2 linked regions of the Saccharomyces cerevisiae S288C genome follow. The gene in region 1 interacts genetically with each later gene. Each region holds a gene or a part of one and is shown on either strand. Other genes may lie near its edges.

The links.
Region 2: mutations in ILV5 (region 1) and BAT2 are lethal when combined (synthetic lethality), as found in Saccharomyces cerevisiae (2 studies listed by BioGRID, with this or other methods).

The regions. Positions count from the first base shown.
Region 1 is NC_001144.5:835,610-843,851, forward strand, and holds ILV5 (ketol-acid reductoisomerase), read right to left. Parts: upstream 3,645-8,242; coding exon 2,457-3,644; downstream 1-2,456. Other genes in the region: BUD8 (Bud8p), read left to right, coding at 1-554; sedoheptulose-7-phosphate:D-glyceraldehyde-3-phosphate transaldolase TAL1, read right to left, coding at 741-1,748; ATG33 (Atg33p), read left to right, coding at 4,712-5,305; RSC2 (Rsc2p), read left to right, coding at 5,722-8,242; YLR358C (uncharacterized protein), read right to left, coding at 7,878-8,242. UniProt on the Saccharomyces cerevisiae protein: Involved in the biosynthesis of branched-chain amino acids (BCAA). Catalyzes the second common step in the parallel biosynthesis of isoleucine and valine.
Region 2 is NC_001142.9:702,277-709,428, reverse strand, and holds BAT2 (branched-chain-amino-acid transaminase BAT2), read right to left. Parts: upstream 3,686-7,152; coding exon 2,555-3,685; downstream 1-2,554. Other genes in the region: DAN1 (Dan1p), read left to right, coding at 1-618; YJR149W (putative nitronate monooxygenase), read right to left, coding at 1,055-2,269; HMS2 (Hms2p), read right to left, coding at 4,157-5,233; YJR146W (uncharacterized protein), read right to left, coding at 5,191-5,544; 40S ribosomal protein eS4 RPS4A, read left to right, coding at 6,361-6,374, 6,631-7,152. UniProt on the Saccharomyces cerevisiae protein: Cytoplasmic isozyme of branched-chain-amino-acid aminotransferase, which catalyzes the first reaction in the catabolism of the essential branched chain amino acids (BCAAs) leucine, isoleucine, and valine.

The DNA.
Region 1 (8,242 bases):
AGAAGAAAAATAAAACGTTGCCAGAACATGGACAACCCCTCGTGCTAGCTCCAATTAAATCTCAAAGCTCGGAGTCAGACACGGGACAGAACTCCATTATAGAAAAGCCAGCTCGAAGCATACGACGAAAGCAACAAGAAAAAACTGATAATAGGAAAGAAGACAGGCACGATGCTGAAAATATAGACCTGGAGGCGAGAATGCCAATTCAACATATCGATACCGCTTCCATTCATTCGTTTGATTCAGGTCAAAATGGATTCAGGGACGTTTACAGCATCGAAAACATCATTGTGATCCTCCTATGTTGTAGTATAGTGCCGCCATTATTTTTTATTATTGGCTGCAGCTCAAGAAGGAAATTAGTTTCAGACTATAGATTAATGAGGTTGCTTATGAATAAAGAACACCGAGCGGCTTTGCTGCAAGGATTCATATGGGACGTTGATTTAAGGTGGTTCCGGATGTTTTGTCTGATCTTAGGGGCTGCCGAAACAGTGATTGTGATGGCCGGTATTGCTATTGGATTTGGTGTGGGTATAACACGTGAATAAGAAACTGTATCATTCATCAAATAGGATAAAAAATAAAAAACTGTTCTGTCTCGTTAAAGTCATATATATAAATAGGGGATTTTCATTAATTTATATATATAGATATACTTGTGTACATGTACCCGTAAGTATCAAAAGAAACGTGCATAAGGACATGGCCTAAATTAATATTTCCGAGATACTTCCTTAAGCGGTAACTTTCTTTTCAATCAAGTCGAATAGAGTAACAATATCGGCAGAGAATTTTCTGATACCTTCGGACAATTTTTCAGTGGCCATAGCGTCTTCATTCAAGTCGAATCTGAATTTAGATTCGTCGCTGATGTAAGAAATCTTGTCGCCGGCTTCCTTCTTAGCGGAGACAGGGTCCAAAACTCTTGGGAAAGGTTCAGTACTGTTCATCAACTTGTCCAATAAAGCTGGAGAAATTGTTAGATAGTCAACACCAGCCAAGTTTTTGATTTCGTCAGTGCTTCTGAAAGAAGCACCCATAACAATAGTCTTGTAACCGTACTTCTTGTAGTAGTTGTAGATTTTCTTGACGGAAATAACACCTGGGTCGGCTTCACCCTTGTAATCTTTACCAGTGCTGGATTTGTACCAGTCTAGAATTCTACCAACAAATGGGGAAATCAAAGTAACTTGGGCCTCGGCACAGGCAACTGCTTGAACGAAGGAGAATAATAGAGTCAAATTACAGTGGATACCGTCCTTTTCTTCCAATTCTTTGGCAGCTTGAATACCTTCCCAAGTGGAAGCAATTTTAATAAGGACTCTTTCCTTGGAGACACCTTCTTGTTCAAACAATTTAATGATATGTCTAGCCTTTTCAATGGTAGCTTGAGTGTCAAAAGACAATCTAGCATCAACTTCGGTGGAGACTCTGCCTGGAACAATCTTTAAGATCTCCTTACCGAATTCGACTAACAATCTGTCCACAGCATTTTCGACTTGTTCTTCGGTGGTCTTACCATGCTTCTTACCGTATTCCACGGCAACATCGATCAACTTGGCGTAAGTTGGTTGCTTGGCAGCAGCCAAGATCAATGATGGGTTAGTTGTGGAGTCTTGAGGTTGAAACTTGGCAATAGAGCCGAAATCACCAGTGTCGGCAACAACGACAGTGCCGGAGGCTTTCAATTGTTCTAGAGAGTTGTTAGCAACCTTTTGTTTCTTTTGAGCTGGTTCAGACATTATGTACACGTATATGTGACGAGTTCGAGAAGTATTTTACTATCGTACTAAATTTTACCTGAAAAATTATATACTCGAGAAAGAGGAAGCCAAGAATTGAGAAAAAAGAAAAACCCGCGAGTAAGGAAATTAAATACAGGTGTACACATACACGCACACATATATATATATATATATATGTATATGTGTATATAGGAAGCGCGCGCATGTTAGTATATACGATTCGTTGGAAAGGGGCCGTCCACCAAACGTGACTTGACGAGTTGACAAATTGACCTCAATATGGCTCAGTCAGTAATTTTTAGTTCCGCTTTATTCCCGCCATCTTTCAGGCCACGAGGGTAGCTCATAACGCCGCGCTAATGCCGCTGCGTCACAGCAACCAGTAGCTCAGCCAAAACCGAAAGAGAAATCGTAGCTGTCCCGATGAGGACTTATACACTTGTCACCATCTAAATAAATTATTTATTCGCGTTTCGGTTCTTGTTTTCGATTTAATTAGATTGTTCATTGAATCATAATAAATATGTAAAAAATATATATATTTGAAGCTGCTTCAGAAAAACAGGGCTTCCTAGTGTACAGATGTATGTCGGATGAAAAAAAAAAAATCTTAAATGTGAAATTGGGTCAATTCAATTGACTATGACTTGATGTTGCAAAAATTCCAAGAGAAAAAGTTTCCAGCACTTGATATTATTTTCCTCTTTATTGGTTTTCTGGTCTCAACTTTCTGACTTCCTTACCAACCTTCCAGATTTCCATGTTTCTGATGGTGTCTAATTCCTTTTCTAGCTTTTCTCTGTAGTCAGGTTGAGAGTTGAATTCCAAAGATCTCTTGGTTTCGGTACCGTTCTTGGTAGATTCGTACAAGTCTTGGAAAACAGGCTTCAAAGCATTCTTGAAGATTGGGTACCAGTCCAAAGCACCTCTTCTGGCGGTGGTGGAACAAGCATCGTACATGTAATCCATACCGTACTTACCGATCAATGGGTATAGAGATTGGGTAGCTTCTTCGACGGTTTCGTTGAAAGCTTCAGATGGGGAGTGACCGTTTTCTCTCAAGACGTCGTATTGAGCCAAGAACATACCGTGGATACCACCCATTAAACAACCTCTTTCACCGTACAAGTCAGAGTTGACTTCTCTTTCGAAAGTGGTTTGGTAAACGTAACCGGAACCAATGGCAACGGCCAAAGCTTGGGCCTTTTCGTGAGCCTTACCGGTGACATCGTTCCAGACGGCGTAAGAAGAGTTAATACCACGACCTTCCTTGAACAAAGATCTGACAGTTCTACCGGAACCCTTTGGAGCAACCAAGATAACATCTAAGTCCTTTGGTGGTTCAACGTGAGTCAAGTCCTTGAAGACTGGGGAGAAACCGTGGGAGAAGTACAAAGTCTTACCCTTGGTCAACAATGGCTTGATAGCAGGCCAGGTTTCTGATTGAGCGGCATCGGACAACAAGTTCATAACGTAACTACCTCTCTTGATAGCATCTTCAACAGTGAACAAGTTCTTGCCTGGAACCCAACCGTCTTCGATGGCAGCCTTCCAAGAAGCACCATCTTTACGGACACCAATGATAACGTTCAAACCGTTGTCTCTCAAGTTCAAACCTTGACCGTAACCTTGGGAACCGTAACCGATCAAAGCAAAAGTGTCGTTCTTGAAGTAGTCCAACAACTTTTCTCTTGGCCAGTCAGCTCTTTCGTAGACGGTTTCAACAGTACCACCGAAGTTGATTTGCTTCAAACCACGGGTAGTGATCATTGGCTTAACGAAACGGGCAGCTGGTCTGCTGTAAGCAGCAGCACGGGTGGCCAAAGCAAAGGTTCTCTTAGCAGTGATGACACGGGAGTTGCAGATCAATCTGGCGGCTTGAGTTCTCAACATGTTTTATTTTTTACTTATATTGCTGGTAGGGTAAAAAAATATAACTCCTAGGAATAGGTTGTCTATATGTTTTTGTCTTGCTTCTATAATTGTAACAAACAAGGAAAGGGAAAATACTGGGTGTAAAAGCCATTGAGTCAAGTTAGGTCATCCCTTTTATACAAAATTTTTCAATTTTTTTTCCAAGATTCTTGTACGATTAATTATTTTTTTTTTGCGTCCTACAGCGTGATGAAAATTTCGCCTGCTGCAAGATGAGCGGGAACGGGCGAAATGTGCACGCGCACAACTTACGAAACGCGGATGAGTCACTGACAGCCACCGCAGAGGTTCTGACTCCTACTGAGCTCTATTGGAGGTGGCAGAACCGGTACCGGAGGAGACCGCTATAACCGGTTTGAATTTATTGTCACAGTGTCACATCAGCGGCAACTCAGAAGTTTGACAGCAAGCAAGTTCATCATTCGAACTAGCCTTATTGTTTTAGTTCAGTGACAGCGAACTGCCGTACTCGATGCTTTATTTCTCACGGTAGAGCGGAAGAACAGATAGGGGCAGCGTGAGAAGAGTTAGAAAGTAAATTTTTATCACGTCTGAAGTATTCTTATTCATAGGAAATTTTGCAAGGTTTTTTAGCTCAATAACGGGCTAAGTTATATAAGGTGTTCACGCGATTTTCTTGTTATGTATACCTCTTCTCTGAGGAATGGTACTACTGTCCTGATGTAGGCTCCTTAAATTGGTGGGCAAGAATAACTTATCGATATTTTGTATATTGGTCTTGGAGTTCACCACGTAATGCCTGTTTAAGACCATCAGTTAACTCTAGTATTATTTGGTCTTGGCTACTGGCCGTTTGCTATTATTCAAGTCTTTTGTGCCTTCCCGTCGGGTAAGGGAGTTATTTAGGGATACAGAATCTAACGAAAACTAAATCTCAATGATTAACTCCATTTAATCCTTTTTTGAAAGGCAAAAGAGGTCCCTTGTTCACTTACAACGTTCTTAGCCAAATTCGCTTATCACTTACTACTTCACGATATACAGAAGTAAAAACATATAAAAAGATGTCTGTTTGTTTAGCCATCACAAAAGGTATCGCAGTTTCTTCTATAGGCCTCTACTCTGGTCTTTTGGCTTCCGCTTCATTGATTACATCTACTACTCCACTAGAGGTTTTAACAGGATCCCTTACTCCCACTTTAACCACTTTGAAAAATGCGGCCACCGCCTTGGGAGCGTTTGCGTCAACTTTCTTTTGTGTGAGCTTTTTCGGCGCTCCTCCCTCATTGAGACACCCCTACTTACTCTATGGTATGCTTGTAGCTCCATTATCTTCATTTGTTCTAGGATGTGCCTCCAACTATCAGTCTAGAAAGTACAGTAAAGTCTCTAAGGAATCTTCTTTATTTCCCGAAGACAGCAAACTCGCTGCTTCCGAACTGAGCGATTCTATTATTGATTTAGGTGAAGACAACCATGCTTCAGAAAATACACCTCGAGACGGGAAGCCTGCAGCAACCACAGTATCAAAGCCGGCAGAGGCATTGCACACCGGTCCCCCAATCCATACTAAAAATCTAATTGCAGCAACTGCTATTGCTATTGTTGGCTTTGTACAAGCCGTTATTGGCGTTTATGGGGAAGGACAATTTATCTAGTGTTTCTCGTTCACGTATTTATCTCTACAAGAATTTGTAGCTGCCTGAACTCGGCTCCTCTCTCTCTCCAAAAATAAAGTGTGTAGTAATTTGCAGTTTTTTTATATATTCCTACGAGTTTTCAAACGTTCAAAAGACAGTATGTTCAAAAATTGTGCATACACACACGTATGCACATATATACATAATAATACACTGTAATAAGCACATTTGTAGGTGCTCTTGCACTTGGTTTATTACTGTCACTGACTTTTCTCACCCGGCCGAGAGTCGTGCGAAAATTCGCATGTTAAAGTGAGAAAATAGAGAAAACAACACAGCTGAAAAAAGTATTGGTAACAGTTCAATACGTGATCAAATATACAGCACGTCGCGCAGAACCAGACGAAGCGGAGAATATTCTACATTGACAGTGCATGATGCCTGATGACAATTCAAACTCGTCCACTCAAAACTCAAGCGCATTATACAAGGACCTGAGGAAAGAATATGAATCTCTTTTCACTTTAAAGGAAGATTCTGGGTTAGAGATTTCACCAATATTCAATGTCCTTCCACCTAAAAAGGATTATCCTGACTACTACGCAGTGATCAAGAACCCTGTATCTTTCAATACTTTAAAAAAGCGTATTCCACATTATACAGATGCTCAACAGTTTATGAACGATGTTGTCCAGATTCCATGGAATGCCAAGACTTACAATACAAGAGATTCAGGAATTTATAAATACGCCTTAGTCCTTGAGAAATATTTAAAGGACACAATCTATCCAAATTTAAAAGAAAAATATCCTCAATTAGTGTATCCTGATTTGGGTCCTCTACCCGATGAACCAGGTTATGAAGAGTTTCAACAGAAATTAAGAGAAAAAGCTGAGGAAGTAGCGAGAGCTAATGCAGCCAGAGCCGAGTCGAGCTCTTCAATGAATTCAACAGAAGCAGCCAGAAGATTAAGAAAGACTCGTACTTCCGTCAAAAGAGAATCAGAACCAGGAACCGATACAAATAATGATGAGGACTATGAGGCGACGGATATGGATATCGATAACCCTAAGGATGCTGATTTTCCTGATTTGATAAGAAAGCCACTAATAAATATTAATCCATATACTCGGAAACCATTAAGAGACAACAGGTCCACTACTCCATCTCACTCAGGCACCCCTCAGCCGTTAGGCCCAAGGCATAGACAGGTATCCAGAACTCAGGTAAAGCGTGGGAGACCCCCAATCATCGACTTACCGTATATTCAAAGAATGAAAAATGTTATGAAAGTACTAAAAAAAGAGGTGCTAGATAGTGGAATTGGTCTAACTGATCTTTTTGAAAGATTGCCCGATAGACACAGAGATGCAAATTACTACATCATGATTGCTAATCCAATTAGTCTTCAAGACATAAATAAAAAGGTAAAGACTCGTCGTTATAAAACGTTCCAGGAGTTCCAGAATGATTTTAATCTTATGTTAACCAACTTTAGAATTTCGCACAGAGGTGATCCTGAAAGCATAAAAATTTCAAATATCTTAGAAAAGACCTTTACTAGTCTGGCAAGATTCGAACTATCCAAACCTGATAGAAGTTTCATTCCAGAAGGCGAGCTAAGATACCCTCTAGATGAAGTCATTGTAAATAATATATCATACCACGTGGGAGATTGGGCACTTCTTCGAAATCAAAATGATCCTCAAAAACCTATAGTGGGCCAAATATTCAGGCTATGGAAGACACCAGATGGGAAACAATGGTTAAACGCTTGTTGGTATTACAGACCCGAACAAACTGTGCATAGAGTGGATAGATTGTTTTACAAAAACGAAGTTATGAAAACAGGTCAGTACCGTGATCATTTAGTGTCAAACTTAGTTGGGAAATGCTATGTGATTCACTTTACTAGATATCAACGTGGTAATCCCGATATGAAATTGGAGGGTCCCTTGTTCGTTTGCGAATTCCGTTATAATGAATCCGATAAAATTTTTAACAAGATTAGAACCTGGAAGGCTTGCTTACCAGAGGAAATTCGTGATTTGGACGAAGCTACCATTCCGGTAAATGGTAGAAAGTTCTTCAAATATCCTTCCCCCATAAGACATCTACTACCAGCTAATGCAACGCCGCATGATCGCGTTCCTGAACCAACGATGGGATCCCCGGACGCGCCACCATTGGTCGGTGCCGTTTATATGAGACCTAAAATGCAGCGTGACGATTTGGGGGAATATGCAACCTCTGATGACTGTCCCAGGTATATTATCAGACCCAACGATTCTCCCGAAGAGGGACAAGTGGATATAGAAACAGGTACGATCACCACAAACACGCCAACAGCAAATGCTCTTCCTAAAACAGGATACTCAAGTAGTAAACTATCCAGTTTAAGATATAACAGGTCATCTATGTCTTTAGAAAACCAAAATGCTATTGGCCAGCAACAAATACCACTGTCAAGAGTTGGTTCCCCTGGCGCGGGAGGCCCGCTTACTGTACAAGGTTTAAAGCAACACCAATTGCAAAGGTTACAACAGCAGCAACATCAATACCAACAACAGAAAAGATCCCAAGCATCACGTTATAATATCCCAACAATAATCGATGATTTAACATCGCAGGCATCAAGAGGTAATTTGGGTAATATAATGATCGATGCAGCCTCCTCGTTTGTCTTACCTATCTCTATAACCAAAAACGTAGATGTTTTGCAGCGTACTGATCTGCACAGCCAAACCAAGAGATCTGGAAGAGAAGAGATGTTTCCATGGAAAAAAACAAAGGGTGAAATATTATGGTTCAGAGGACCTAGTGTGATAGTAAATGAACGAATAATAAATTCAGGTGACCCACACCTAAGCCTGCCACTGAATAGGTGGTTTACCACTAACAAGAAAAGAAAACTAGAATACGAAGAAGTTGAAGAAACCATGGAAGATGTGACTG
Region 2 (7,152 bases), on another chromosome or scaffold:
ATCACCGGTGTGCCATGGTACTCTACTAGATTGATGGGTGCTATTTCCGAAGCACTTGCGAATGAAGGTATTGCTACTGCAGTACCAGCTTCTACCACAGAGGCTTCTTCCACCTCCACTTCAGAAGCTTCTAGTGCCGCCACTGAGTCTTCTAGCTCCTCTGAAAGTTCAGCAGAGACCAGCTCAAACGCTGCTTCCACCCAAGCTACTGTTTCATCTGAATCTAGCTCTGCTGCAAGCACCATTGCAAGTTCTGCTGAAAGTTCTGTTGCAAGCTCTGTTGCAAGCTCTGTTGCAAGCTCTGCTAGTTTTGCCAATACCACAGCTCCAGTTTCTTCTACATCTTCTATCTCAGTCACTCCAGTGGTCCAAAATGGTACTGACAGCACCGTCACAAAGACTCAAGCTTCCACTGTTGAAACTACCATAACTAGTTGTTCAAATAACGTCTGTTCAACTGTGACTAAGCCAGTCTCCTCCAAAGCTCAATCTACAGCTACTTCTGTCACATCGTCAGCATCTCGTGTTATTGACGTTACCACTAACGGTGCTAACAAGTTCAATAACGGTGTTTTCGGTGCCGCTGCTATTGCTGGTGCCGCCGCTCTATTGTTATAGTGATCATGTGCGGCCCTGTACAGTTGTATAAATGATGTAAAATAATTGAATTCTCTTAATTTTAATATTTATAAGATATATACTATAAGCGTAAGGAAATTCCAAAGAAATTTGTTTTTTAGTTTGCAGTCTTGTGCTCCAACTATTTCCGGTCCTTTTCGAATTTCATGTCAGGAGCATTCCTTATTGCAGACAGCTTAACAGAAAAAAAACTGTGAAAAAAATAAATACCTTTAGATATTAAAGCCCTAAATTGATATCAAATTTTTTCCATATTTGGATTTTGTATTCCTTAAAGCCCACATCCTGTGAACGGTTACGCTCAAATAATGGCCAAGTAACCTACGATCCAATAGCGACGTATATATATCATATAGAAAAAGGTCATCCAGAAAATTTGTGTCAATAAGTATCAGGTCTTTTATATGTATTTATATTATTTTCCGTCAATTTTCAATCTTGCGCCCATAGTTTCAATTTTCTTGTCTGTTGTGATTCCTGATTGGACATTCTGAAATCCTTGTCCAGCTAAAATAAAGTTAGCCAATTCTGGATACTTTTTTCTTACTTGCTTGAAAGCACTATACATGTAGCCATATGGAGGAAGCTCCTCACCTTGAAAATTAGCAATGACTTTTTCGATAAAAGGAGTAGAGATGGTCCTTGCAGGCTTTCCTGATATTATATTAACCATTTTAGTTGTTGTTTCTCGAGTGAAGGGGCTTGAAAAGTTTTTTGATGCATTGGATTCACTGCAACCAAGAAAAGCAGTCCCCACTTGAACAGCGTCTGCTTGCTGTGATAACATGTATGATATATCTTTGGAATCCATTATACCACCTGCTGCAATGACAAAGGGAGTAGCATGTATAAGACCTTTATTTTTCATTTCAGCAAGTTCATCAACTGTTCTTTTCACCAATTGTACAGTTGATAAGTTTTCATCATCTTTGGGGTCATTTACTAAGAAATTTCCTCTATGTCCTCCCGCTTCATAGCCTTGACACACTATGCCATTAATGCCGAGACGTGCTAACAATCGAACTTCTCTTACAGAGGTGGCAGTCACAAAAATTAGAATTCCAATTTTTTGTAAATATTCTATTGTAGATTTCGACGGATGGCCAAAATGGAAACTAATGATTTTAGGCCTAAAGCCATCTGATAGGTACTGGAAAAAATCTTGAAGAGCATTTTCTTTTTCAAATGCCTTAAAAGATACATTACCATTATCGAATTTAATCTCATTCATATCAATCGGCACATTCATAGACTTTCTGTATAGCTTCGCCCAGTTAGCTGTTTGAAGATCGGTCGGTTTATCAACGATATCATGGCAAAAAAAGTTTAGGTTGAGATTGCCCTCTAAAGATTCATCGGCTACTTGATCTCTGAATTGTGAAACCATCAGTTTAAGCTTTTCAATATCATTGACCTTTCTGAAGTCTAAGTGGGATAGGGGTAGTGAAGCTATGGCGCCCGCAATACAAGCCTTAGCGGCCATTTCAATAGTCGTGACCCCCGCCATAGGGGCCTGGATGATAGGGTATCTCAAGTTTAAACATTTTTGGAAAGATCTGCTCATATCTTCTCTTTTATCCACCGACATTACGGAAACGTCTTGAAATATTAGTTGGTTTAAAAAGTACATGAATTGTCTTGAGTTGCTTCTAAGGTATGTATGGGCCCTTTTCTATCCGCGCAAAAGATGTCCTTGATACCGATAGGCCAGCACTAGATGACAAGAAAAAAAACGAAAGGATAATTGCAGGTTTCGACATACATTTTTTATCAGATCACTGCAAAATCCAGGAATTCATATATACAATGTCAAAGGGTATGTTATATTCTGACATGACCCCTTAACTCAGTAGAAAAAACGCTCTAGTTTTATTCTTTTTAACTTTTAATTACTTTACGTAGCAATAGCGATACTTCAGTTCAAATCAGTAACAACCCTTGACCAATTGCCATGCTCAGTCTCGCCATATTGGATTCCATTAATCCATTGTGCAACTTCTTTGGCCAATGGACCGGTTTGTTCGCCGGGCAACAACGGAATATTAATTTGTTCGCCTTTCCAGCCGATTTCCTTAATGGGAGAAACAATCGCAGCAGTACCAGAACCAAAGGCTTCAAGTAGTTCACCGTTCTTGGATCTCTCAGTAACTTCGCCTATAGTGAAGTAGCGTTCACTAATGGTCCATTCACTTGGTTCGAGTCTTTCTTTAGCAAGATTTAAAATGGAATCCCTAGTAACACCTTCCAAAATGGTACCGTCTAGTGGAGCAGTAACTAGTTCCTTCTTGCCCGTTTTACTATCTTTAAACACGAAAAAAGCATTCATGGTGCCGACTTCAGTAATGTTGTTATTTGGACCAAATAGCCATAAATTTTGTTGGTAACCCCTTGAAGCAGCTTGCAATTGTGGCAGGACGCAGGGGGCGTAGTTTGCACCTAGTTTCTTGTCACCACAGCCTCCTGGCCAAGCTCTTGTGGCATAATCAGTGGCTTCCAGTCTGACCGCCTTAAATCCAGTTTTGTAATAAGGACCCACAGGGCAGCAAATGACATATAGCAAGGCTCTATCAGGCGTGGAAACCCCTAAACCGGCCGTAGTGCCGATTAATGTAGGCCTGATATATAAAGAGTAACCTTTTCCTTCAGGAACTAAGCACTTATCTTGCTGGATCAGTTTCCCAATTAGGGTAATCAACTCTTCTGGGTCGAACGTTGGCAAACAGATTCTCTGAGCAGACTTATTCATGCGCTTCATATTCATATCTGGACGAAACATTGTAATTTTGTTGTCCACCGTTCTGTAAGCCTTCATCCCTTCGAATAGCTCAAAAGCATAATGGAAAACCACCGCGGAAGGGTCTAAAGACAGATTTTGATAAGGTTTAATCTCTGGGGTACCCCACCCTTTTTCAGCTGTCCATTCCGCAGTTAACATGTGGTCCGTGAAGCTCTTGCCAAACACTAACTCACTGTTCGGTTTTGGCTTAGATGCATGTTGTGTGGTAGTTATCTTAACTTTGGAGGCGTCTAGGGGTGCCAAGGTCATATCGTTCTTAAAACTCGTGGAGATGCTTTCCCTTAAATTTCTAAAATTTTAGTAGTTAGTCTGTTTTTATTAAGGATTTCTCAAAGGAATGAATTTTTTCCCAGGAAATAGTCGAATATCTTGTAAGCTTATATTAGTTATACTGTCAGCTCATTTCGGATCTCCTCTCACTCACGTACGGCTCTTAATTTCTACCTATTATTTCCGTTTTTGTTGACAGAAAAACGGACATAGAAGAACGACACCAAAAAGAAAAAGAGTCGGATCTACAGATTAGATAACAAGAGGTGTCAGAGAGGGAAAAGAAGCTAAATTAAGTGTCACCCGAAAGCGGAAAAAGAACGCCGTTTGCAAGAATGGTTCCGGGGCCAATGGAACATTAAACTTTGGTGTAGTGCGGTCACAGAAAAAAAAAATCGTACACGTATATAGTGGTATGCTAGGTCGTGAATGACCCTCAGAGGCAGGTTTTCACGTTCGAAGATGTTTGGAAAGGAGCGTTATAAGTTGTGTTGGGGTGAAGGGGCTAACTAGGATGTCACTGAACCCCAACTGCAAAAAATGGTGGAAATAATAGCGAGAGTAGTTGGAGGGAGCAATGCTGGTATCTTGAGGGGAGACGGGTCTGTTAATAATGGCTATTACAGGAAAGCTTGGGAGTAGGTTTCTCAGTCTCTTGAAGTAGATGAGATGTTCTTGTTGCATGTTGGGCGACACGGTGACGAAAAGAAGGTCGTATGCCTCGGGATGCAACTGCGGGTGCCACTGAGTGGCCGTATCCAAAGAGCAGTTCATAAATTCGAACACGCCGGCGAAGCGCATCAAAGGTGTTTCTGACAATTCGGATGCGTTTGGTATTAGTAACAGCAACGAGTAGCGTTTGGGGCGCTTTGGTTGGCGTTGCTGGTGTTGTAGACAAGAGTCCGGGCATACAACCTTTTTGATGGCTTCAAAATTTTCTTGAAGGAAGTTAGCGGTTTGGTAGGCGTGAAACTGGTGGTAGGAGATTGTCTGTAAGCTGGCGTTAATTTCCCTTATAATACGCAGACTATCTGCGTTTGTCGACTTAAGCTCATCAAGATTGCCCTGAAGCCTGTCAACATTTTTCACTAATTTCTCGAAGGAAGGCTTGCCGATGGCCTTGCTTAGAATGGAGTTCACTTTGAAAGGGTCCCAGTGAAAAGTACACTGCTTATTCATATTATTGACGGCGGCGACATTGGGAGTGGCGGCAGACTGATGAGCTTTAACCAGTGAGAGGCTATTAATGTTATCTTTTTGAAAATGAATGTTGGAAAACTCCACGCAGTCCGGGCGGCCCGCCTTCTGGAAGTTATATTTGCTCAATTGCTTAACGAATGCTGCAAAGGTGTGAATACCAAAAAATCGCTCTAGGATGACTTTGGTGAACTGGTCCGGATTCCAAATGACGAGCTTGCTGCCATCAGTCGACCATTGTATTATGTTCGAGTAAGCGTTCCCCTGCAGCAGGTGGTAGAGTTTGCTTACAAAGACATCAGGCTGCTCCATCCTCGATGTTGCATCCATGTCTGACGTGCGTCGCTACACGAAAGAGACACACTTGGCGACTGCCCTGACTGGCAATATATACAGTCCGCAAATGTCGCGGACTGATGCGTCCACTTACTCTTCCTATATACCACCTGGGTGAAGAGGAGAAGTGAGCCCGTTCTGGAGATATATGTCCAAATATTTGCAGATCCAGTTTTGTCATTATAATGAGATGCCTTTTGGGCGACAAAGTTCGGGTAAAAGAAGGACGGGTCCAGGAAGGCCGTGGCCACAGAACAATGCGCAGAGAAGATTTCCGGTTTCTTTTTGGCTTTTCCGACTTTCATCTTTTAGAACTAAAGATTTCCTGCATCGGTAAACCTTAGCAATGTTTCTCTAGAGGGTTTTTGCACACCAGACACGTCGCACGTGCTCTTGCAGAGACTGCTGCGCTTTCGTTTACACTCAGATAACATAGTCTAGCTAGCTTGCTGTCGTTCGGCACGAGATCTAATCCTTCTCCTGGCCTACCGTCTGTGCAACCATTAGTCATGATTACGTGTGTTGCGCCTTATCTTGTCATTATGGCAGCATACTTTTCGTAGTCCTTTCCTGCGCAGCTTGTCCATTTTCGTCATTACGTAAAAAGTCCTAATGGAGAGCTGGGTACTGCATTTTTTCGATGTTTTCAATATTCAGTTCAGCAGGAAATAAACAAATAAACAAACATTAAAATATCCTGGTTTTTTTTCCCAGAGACGCGTGGAAGCACCCATGCATCCACTATTTATTTTTAAACAGCCGTACATTCTGTAATTTTGCTTCCTTTTTCTTCCTGCGTTCTTTTTTTCTTGAACTGTCGTTTTCCGTTATTTTTTTCGGTGACATCAGTTGAAAGTAGCAGCGGCCTAGGCCGGGAGGCCGTGTAGCTCTTTGTAGTCGTGGTAAGGGGGAGTAGCAATTCACTTAGTACGTGGTCTTGGAGTTAGGCTGGCTCGGACTGGCCCTGGCAAGTCCTGTTCTGTGTGGTAGTATTGAAATTTCAGAGATTGTCGGCAATACTAGTATATTAAAAATTATACTATAATTTAATCTAGTGTTGAAATACTTTCTTATATAGCGATTTTTCTGCCCAAAACAAACCAAAGAATCAATACGCAAAGATGGCTAGAGGACCGTATGTTTGACTATAGACTTTGATTATAATTACGCAAGGATGAGAAGAATGATAGACAAGAAACAAGTGGAGTCTTAACCAAACGAATAGGAACAACAATGAACCAGTTTATGTCCATTTAATTTTAGATCATCCTGGGATTGTACAAATATTTTACGAGTAATGATTTACTAACGAGCACAATGAAAAAAATAAAATGTCTGTATCTTCATTATACATTCATTTTTGCCCTTTTTTCTCATTTTTTTCCGTACAGAAAGAAGCATCTAAAAAGATTAGCAGCTCCACACCACTGGTTATTGGACAAGTTGTCCGGTTGTTACGCCCCAAGACCATCTGCTGGTCCACACAAATTGCGTGAATCCTTGCCATTGATTGTCTTTCTAAGAAACAGATTAAAGTATGCTTTGAACGGCCGTGAAGTCAAGGCTATCTTGATGCAACGTCACGTTAAAGTGGACGGTAAGGTTAGAACCGACACTACCTACCCAGCTGGTTTCATGGATGTCATCACTCTAGATGCCACCAATGAAAACTTCAGATTGGTCTACGATGTCAAGGGTAGATTCGCTGTCCACCGTATCACCGATGAAGAAGCTTCTTACAAGTTGGGTAAGGTCAAGAAGGTTCAATTAGGTAAGAAGGGTGTTCCATACGTTGTTACCCACGATGGTAGAACTATCAGATACCCAGACCCAAACATCAAGGTCAATGACACTGTTAAGATCGACTTGGCCTCTGGTAAGATTACTGATTTCATCAAGTTCGATGCCGGTAA